Linked DNA regions of Sus scrofa. The protein of the gene in region 1 interacts with the protein of each later gene in a pairwise test. Links are inferred from orthologs where the notes say so. Each region holds a gene or a part of one and is shown in the gene's direction. Other genes may lie near its edges.

Region 1 (4,351 bases):
ACAAGATTCTGCCTAAGCTGGAGAGAAAGTGAGTGGAATGGGCACCTCACAGCATTCTTGGGGCCATGCTCAAGAGTCTGGCAAACTGTATGACCTGGAGGGTATATATGTGTCACTCATCTGCCAAGAGCAGCTTCTACCTCTGTGCAGCTGAGATTCTGATCTAACTAAGGGGAAGGGCTGGGAGGAAGCTCAATAAATACTAGATGAGCTTTATTAAATTTTTTTTTTTATTTTAATGGCCCCACCTGTGCCATATGGAACTTCCCCAACACCGGATCCTTTTAACCCACTGCTCCAGCCCAGAAATCAAACCCGAGCTTCTGCAATGACCAGAGCCTCTGCAGTCCAATTCTTAACCTACTGCGTCAGAGTGGGAACTCCTGATGTCTTTTATCATGTTCCTACTAACCTCTGTTTCCTATGAGCTGGTAGTTTAGATCCTGAAGCTTGATCAGTTTTGGCTTTTGGCAACAGGTGATGCTTTCTATTTCCTATGTATCTCACCAGGAGATGATGATGTGATGTTACAGCTGATTAGTAAGTACAAGTATTGTCAGCCAGATCTGTCCATTATAATATCTTGTAAGTTTAGTTTTTTTTTTAAGAAGGTAAATATACATATAGAGATTTACCATCACTCCTGAAAATTCCCTAATTTTCTTCCCAATTTTTGTAGCTTTTCTGAAATTTTTTTTCGGTATAGTGTTTCGTGTTCAAGAACCTGATATAGAAGTTGCCATTATGGCTTAGTGGTTAAGAACCCAACTAGTATCCATGAGGATACTGGTTCAATCCCTGGCCTGCGCAGTGGGTTAAGGATCCCGCGTTGCGGTAAGCTGCGGTGTATGTCGCCAATGAGGGTCGGATATGGCTGTGGTGTAAGCGGGCAGCTGCAGCCCCAATTAGACCCTAGCCTGGGCACTTCCATTTGCTGCGGTGCAGCCCTAAAAAGACAAAAACCCCACCCTGATATAAATGGCATACAGATGCCACTCTGAGTCTGGCTACTTTCACTTAGTTATTTTTGTATGAATATACCACCGTTTTATCCATTTTCCCACGAAGGGCATTAATAAGTCAAAACTCCGGTATTGAAGGGTCACAGCTGGCGAGACAGCTTCCATTGGCTCCAAAAGCGTTTCTCTTCTCTCCCCTCACACCCGCCCGCAATTTCCACGCCTCTCACCTGTAGCGGTTTGGAAGAAAGGAGACCGCCCAGTTCTCAGCTAAATTTGTGTTGTAGATTTGATTGACAGCCAAAATCCCCAGGGCTCACAGTGCCCTTCGGATTCCGAGTTGGTTTCGCCCATTTCACGAAATTCTGAAAATCGAGCAAGTGCCCAACGTTTGCTTGAGTGAGCCGGGAGAACTGGATGTACCCTTAGAAGTTAGTTTAAGGTATACTCCTTTTATCGCCTCTGGTCAGGAATTGGACAGCCACATGGACGCGTTGCGCTCGTTTTCAAATGTCCCTCCTAGGATGCCGTCCTTTCTGAATAAGCTAAGCGACAGGCGGGCGCTCGGGACTTCCGGGACGGCCAGGAAGTCGCCTCTCTCGCTCTCTCCGGCAGGAGGCGGGTAGCTTTGCGGGTGTAGCCCCGAATGCTGCTGAGCCAGGTGGACCGGGAGGGGCGGGGCGGAACCCTTTGGCTACGGGCCTGAGACTAGGTCCCCCGAGGCTGCGGCTGCCTGGGCAAGAGGTCGCCATTCATTCCCCACGTGTGGTTGAAGAGCGAGGGCCCCGTCAGGGGCCCTTTGGAAGTCCGTGCTGGTCCCTACAGAAGAGGCGTCCTGCGTGGACCCTGGGCTGCTGCCGGCCTTCTCAGATCGGAGGTCCTCCTCCTCCTTCCACCTGCAGCTCAGGTGACCGGCGCCATGGCTTTTCCCCATCGGCCGGACGCGCCAGAGCTGCCTGACTTCTCCATGCTCAAGAGACTGGCCCGAGACCAGCTCATCTATCTGCTGGAGCAGGTCAGTGCCCGCCACTCCGGGGCCTTTACTGTATCAGCAGGTTAGCATTCACTGGGTGCATAGTTCTTTCTTAACTGAGTTCCTTTGAGCGTGCTCTTGTCCCTTGGTATTGTCCTTGGAGCTTCTGGAGCAGGTCCAAAATGAAGCACCAGGAGAAAAATCAGGGCAGTGAGAGCTCCGTGGGGTGACCTGGCCAGCCTTCCCCCACCCCCTACCCCCTACCCAAACAGGCAAGGGAGACGCCACTAGTGCCAGGCATCAATGGGAATGGAAAGATGGTTGTGACATCTCTGTCCTTAGGGATCTTACACTTCAGTGGGAGCATATGACACAAAATACTACATAGAGAATATGTGTGGTAAATAAGTGCTAGCTAGGGTGCCTGAAACAATCATTTCTAGCTAGAGTGATCTAGGAATTTCAAAGAGCTGGAGTGTGAAGATAAGCGTATTTTCCTTGGAGATGGGAGAGGATGTTCCAGGCAGAAGGACCTGCAGGAAAGTTGAGGAACCAGGGAAGGATAAGTCCTGCAACAGGTAAGAGGGTGATCAGAAGTTACACAGTAGGTATTAGGCAGCCATTAAAGAGTTTTCCTCCCATGCATTCCCTTTGTGGCTCAGTGGTAACAAATCCGACTAGACTAGTATCCCTGAGGACGTGGGTTCGATCCCTGGCCTCGCTCAGTGGGTTAAGGATCTGGCATTGCTGTGAGCTGTGATGTAGGTCACACACCTGGCTTGGATCCCAAGTTTCTGTGGCTGTGGTGTCAGCTGGTGGGCATCTGTAGCTCCAATTTGATCCCTATCCTGGGAACTTCCTTATGCTGCACATTTGGCCCTAAAAGCAAAAAACAAAAACAAAAAAATTTTCTTACTTCCACATGTGGCATGAAACAATACTTGAAGATGTTTCTAATAGCCATGTGTGAAGTTGAGTAAATAAGAAACAAGAAGGCCAGTTAGGAGAACATAGATCAGATTGAAGTAATAAAGGTGCACACAAAATTGATGGCAGTGAAAGTGAAAGAAAGTTGATAGATTTTTAAGTCATGGTGAAAGAAGACTCAAAGACTTATCAATTAGTTGTAAAAGAATCAGGAAGAAGCAAAACTGAGTTTGAGATTTTTAACTTGAGTTAATAGGAAAATAATGCTGTTACTGTAATTGTAATGGATGACATATATAGTCATTTGTTTAATGTTTGTATTTTCTGCTAGATTGGAAGGTCCTTGAGGACAGGGATATACCTATTTTGTCCAACACCGTATACCCAGTGAGTACCTAACTTAGAGACAGACACTAAGCATGTGCTTAATAAATATTTATCACATGGAGTTCCCATCATGGCTCAGTGGTTAACGAATCCGACTAGGAACCATGAGGTTGTGAGTTCAGTCCTTGGCATTGCTCAGTGGGTTAAGGATCTGGCATTGCAGATGCGGCTCAGATCCCGTGTTGCTGTGGCTGTGGTGTAGGCCAGCGGCTACAGCTCTGATTTGACCCCTAGCCTAGGAACCTCCCTGTGCCGTGGGTGTGGCCCTAGGGAAAAAAAAAAAATTATCGTATAACCATTGAATGGAAATGAGAAAAAAAATTAGAAAGAGGAATGGCTTTGGTGGGGGAAGTTGATGTGTTCAAGTTCGGGTAGGTTGAGGTTAAGATACTAGTAGGAAATCCTGCTTGTAATATCCTGCAGATACAAGTGTAGGGTGAGCTCCTGCTGTGGCTCAGTGGGTTAAGAACCCAACTAGCATCCAAGAGGATGCGGGTTTGATCCCTGGCCTCGCTCAGTGGGTTAAGGATCCAGCATTGCTGCAAGCTGTGGCATAGGTCTTTCGAACGAGGCTTGGACCTGGCGTTGCTGTGGCTGTGGTGTAGGCTGGCAGCTATAGCTCCAGTTCAATCCCTAGCCTGGAAACTTACATATGCTTCGGGTGCATCCCTAAAAAGACAAAAAAGCCCACACACACAAAAAAGAAAAGACATGTAGGGTTGCAGTGGGGTGAAGAACCTCAGAGAACCTCGGTGGCGGGGGAGGGGGAGGAGGTGCGTATTTTATTTCTCTGTAATGTGTCCTGTAGTGGTAGCACAATGATTGGCACATGAAAGACCCCAATGGTCTGAGAAATTGAAAGGAGATGCTGGTTAGAGTCACTAGCTCATGAAAGAAACTAAATGAGAACAAGGGTAGAAACTTGTAAATGGAGTGTCCTGAGGAAGAGCTGTCCACAAGGGTGATCAGCATGGTCAAAGCAGATTTCTGTGCAGTAATATCTTTGAACTAACATCCTCTGACTTAATTCTTCTTAGGGCTGTGCTAGTCAGGCTTGAAAACCTTAGAATCATTTTGACTCTCCTTCCCCATCTCACACCTAAAT
Region 2 (3,568 bases), about 45 Mb from region 1:
CTTCTAGGGCATAACGAGTGCTGGGACCAGAGGGTGAGAAGAGAGAGGTTCTCCTTGAGGACATTTCTGTTCATTCTCAGCCATTCTTCAGTGTCCAGTGACAAAGGAATATAGGAAATGGTCTTCTTCCTTACATACCAATTCTGTTCTTACTCTGCCAGGTCTGCTCACTGGAAAGATTCCGCTCCTTACAGGACAAGCTACAACTTCTGGAAGAAGCAGTCAGCATGCATGATGGAAACGTCATTACTGCAGTGAGTTGTGGCTTTTATTTAATTAGCTACATTAGTTTCTGAAAGTCCAGTCAGGATAGACTTTAACATTTTAGGTTAAATGGCAAGTAAAACCCTCGATTTTTCTTTCTTTCTTTCTTTTTTTTTTTTGCCACGGCAGGCAACATCTTGAAGTGGGTTCTTAGTTCCTCAATCAGGGATTAAACCTGGGCCGCAGTGGTGAAAGCAATGAATCCTCACCCCTGGACCACCAGGGAACTCCCTGGATTTCCTTCTTGAAGTAGAGGGTTCTCAAAAGTCCACATTCTAAGGCTCACTTAGCAGGACATACATTGTGTATTGTGCTCTTGATTATGACCCAGAGGCAGTAGGTTGGCTACTCTGTGTTCTTAGAAATAATCTGCGAGATGAGAGATGTGGGAGTAGGCTCTCACAGAGGGAGGGAGGAGGCAGCTCTCGCCAGTAGGGGCACAGGTATGTGGACTCCCAGGACCAGGTTTAATCCCTGCTTGTGGGAACTGAGATCCCACTTCCAGATGTGCATCGCTGGTCCTTCCATCACAAAGAGAGACCGTTGTCTGGACCTGCGGAGATTCCTAATGAGTTGCTGACTTTATTCCTAGACATCAGGTGCTCAGGCAGGGCTTTGTGTTTGGAAGGTTACACAGGCTAATTCATTTGGTTCTCTTTTCCTCTAGGTTCTGATCTTCCTGAAGAGGACACTGAGCAAAGGTGAGTGTAGTTTGGGGAAATCTCCAGTCGGTACAGTGTCTGCTACCTTTGAAGGGAGAATGGCACTGTGGCTTTCATACCAGAATTCACCAGCATGAGGTCTGCTTCTGGGACAGCTGGGGTGACCTGAGACTTCTGAGTACACCTCACAACCCTCAGGGGCAGGTGTTCATCCTTTAGGCTGATAACTGCAGTAACTACAAAGCCCCTCCGTGGACTGGGCAGTTGGGTGGCTGTGTTGGTTTGAGGAAGTGAGTGTCCAGCTCGGTGCTGCTGTTTGGGTTGGTGCGAACTGAAAGCTGACACAGAGGCTAAGCGTTGCCCTGGACCGAGGAGTCTGCTGCTGGTGGATTGAGCCAGAGGGATGGGCACCATGGAAACCATTCCAGCCTTTAATGGACTTTGAGGAGATAATGTTTGGAATGTGTGAGTAGGGAGACCAGTGTCCCGTTGAGTAATAGGCTCTAATCTTTGCCCACCTAACTCCTCCTTCTTGCCTGCCAGAGATCCTCTTCCGAGAGCTGGAGGTGCGACAGGTTGCCCTGAGACATCTCATTCACTTCCTTAAGGAGATAGGGGATCAAAAGCTGCTCTTAGACCTCTTTAGGTAAGAACTGATCATCTGGTCTATAAAGTTTGTTAAATACTTTGTTCAAAGCACTCTGGGCGATAATGCGAAGAAAGAGAAGACACTCTCTTTTTTCTGGAAAGGCTTATTAGACGAGATATTGAAAGGTGATGGATAACTCAGACTGCACCACAGCCTGTGGTAAGGTGACCGTGTAGCAGGTGGTTACGAGCCAGGGTCTGGAGTCAAGCATCTGCATTGAATATTGACCCCACTGCTTAGTTCATAGAGTGACTCGGAGCAAGTTACCTAACCATTCCAAGCCTCAGTTTTCACATCTGTAAAAATGGAGATATCTACCCTATAGGTCATTATGAACATTAAAAAAAAAAAATGTGTATTGGAAGTTCCTGTTGTGGCTCAGCAGTAACAAACCCGACCAGTGTCCATGAAGACTTGGGTCAGATCCTTGGCCTCATTCAGTAGGTCAAGATTGCCGTGCGCTGTGGTGTAGGTCACAGACGCGGCTCAGATCTGGCTTTGCTGTGGCTGTGGTGTAGGCTGGCAGCTACAGCTCCAATTCGACCCTTAGCCTGGGAACTTCCATATGCTATGGGTGCAGCCCTGAAAAGAAGGAAAGAAAGAAAATTTTTAAAATGTGTGTAAAGCACTTGGCATAATGCCTCGTCTGTACTTTTAGTATTTACTAAGTACTTCTTTACAAAAGGCCTAGGATAAAGGTATCTTTTATTACTTGGTACCCGGTGATGCCAGAGAGAAACACAGTGGAAGAACAGAAGAAGCAAATATAATTTTCAGTCAGCATATCTGAAGAGGGCCTGTGGAAGTGGTCAGGAACTGAGCTGGGCCTATGAGACTAGGTAGGATTCTAGTAGGTAGAGAGGCCAGAGGTGGGCATATCCGCTGGAGGCTGGGGTTGGTGGGGTTTTGGGGAGCGGGACAGCTGTCTTCCATCCTGATTTCCTTTCCTATCTCACTTTAGTCAATAGGGACTCTTTTCCACTCTTAGATTAAAATGTATGTATATTATGTCCTTTCTTCAATTGGAACCTCTGTTTAGGCTGACCTGTGGCTCAGGGTAACTCCATTTACCCAGCGTCTCCAGCACAGTGATTAGCTGCCCCAAAGACTAAGGTGGGGAAAGCAGGTTACCTGGTCGGGGTCAAGGTTACAGATGATTAGCCAGGTATTTGCAGATGTGTTCACCAGGACAGGCTGTTGCCCACACCCCTCCCTCATTCCCTCCCTTCTTCCTTCCTTCCTCTCTCCCTCTCTCCCAATCAACAAGGCTTTATTAAGCATCACCTCTGTACCAAAGTAGTGATGTTAATTTTAGTGGTCCATTCAGAATAAGACAGAATCAGAAGACAAAAGTCCTTGTTCTCCAAGGCCTTGCCACCTTTGGGGGAGAGACAGAACACATTGTTTGCTGAACATGAAAACAACAGAGGACAACACAGACAATCTGTTTCCAAGATTGTACTGACAGAGAAGCATTTTCATTGTTTTTTTGTTTGTGGTTTGTTTTTGTCTTTTTAGAGCTGCACCCGCGGCACATGGAGGTTCCCAGGCTAGGGGTCGAATCAGAGCTATAGTGCCGGCCACAGCAACTCCAGATCTGAGTCGTATCTGCTACCTACACTGTACGTAGCTCACGGCAATGCCGGATCCTTAACCCACTCTGCAAGGCCAGGGGTCGAACCCACATCCTCATAGTTACTAGTCAGGTCGTTACCTCTGTGCCACCACAAGAACTCCAAGTTTTCATCTTTTAAAAATAACCCAGGAGACTACTGTGGGCTAAGGTTTGGTGGAGGCGCTGAGCCTTTCTGTCAGACCTGGTAACGTTACAGTTGCTAGTGCCCTGCGATGTCTCCTTGTCCTTGCTTTTCACTCAGGTAGAGGGATCGGACACTGCTGATGCCTGATCCACCATGTGTGGACACTGCTGATGCCTGATCCACCATGTGTTTTCAGGAGGCTGCTGGTGGTAGAACTTTTAAGAGGAGAAGGA

The links.
Region 2: the proteins of VPS33B (region 1) and VIPAS39 interact in binary tests that used the Homo sapiens proteins (3 or more experiments, as listed by UniProt). The link is inferred for Sus scrofa from reciprocal best matches to the Homo sapiens genes VPS33B and VIPAS39.

The regions. Positions count from the first base shown.
Region 1 is NC_010449.5:55,839,079-55,843,429, forward strand, and holds the start of VPS33B (vacuolar protein sorting-associated protein 33B), read left to right. Parts: upstream 1-1,533; 5' UTR 1,534-1,878; coding exon 1,879-1,974; intron 1,975-3,190; exon of another isoform or gene 3,191-3,246; intron 3,247-4,351. UniProt on the Homo sapiens protein: May play a role in vesicle-mediated protein trafficking to lysosomal compartments and in membrane docking/fusion reactions of late endosomes/lysosomes.
Region 2 is NC_010449.5:100,493,113-100,496,680, reverse strand, and holds part of VIPAS39 (spermatogenesis-defective protein 39 homolog), read left to right. Parts: intron 1-161; coding exon 162-254; intron 255-931; coding exon 932-965; intron 966-1,469; coding exon 1,470-1,572; intron 1,573-3,568.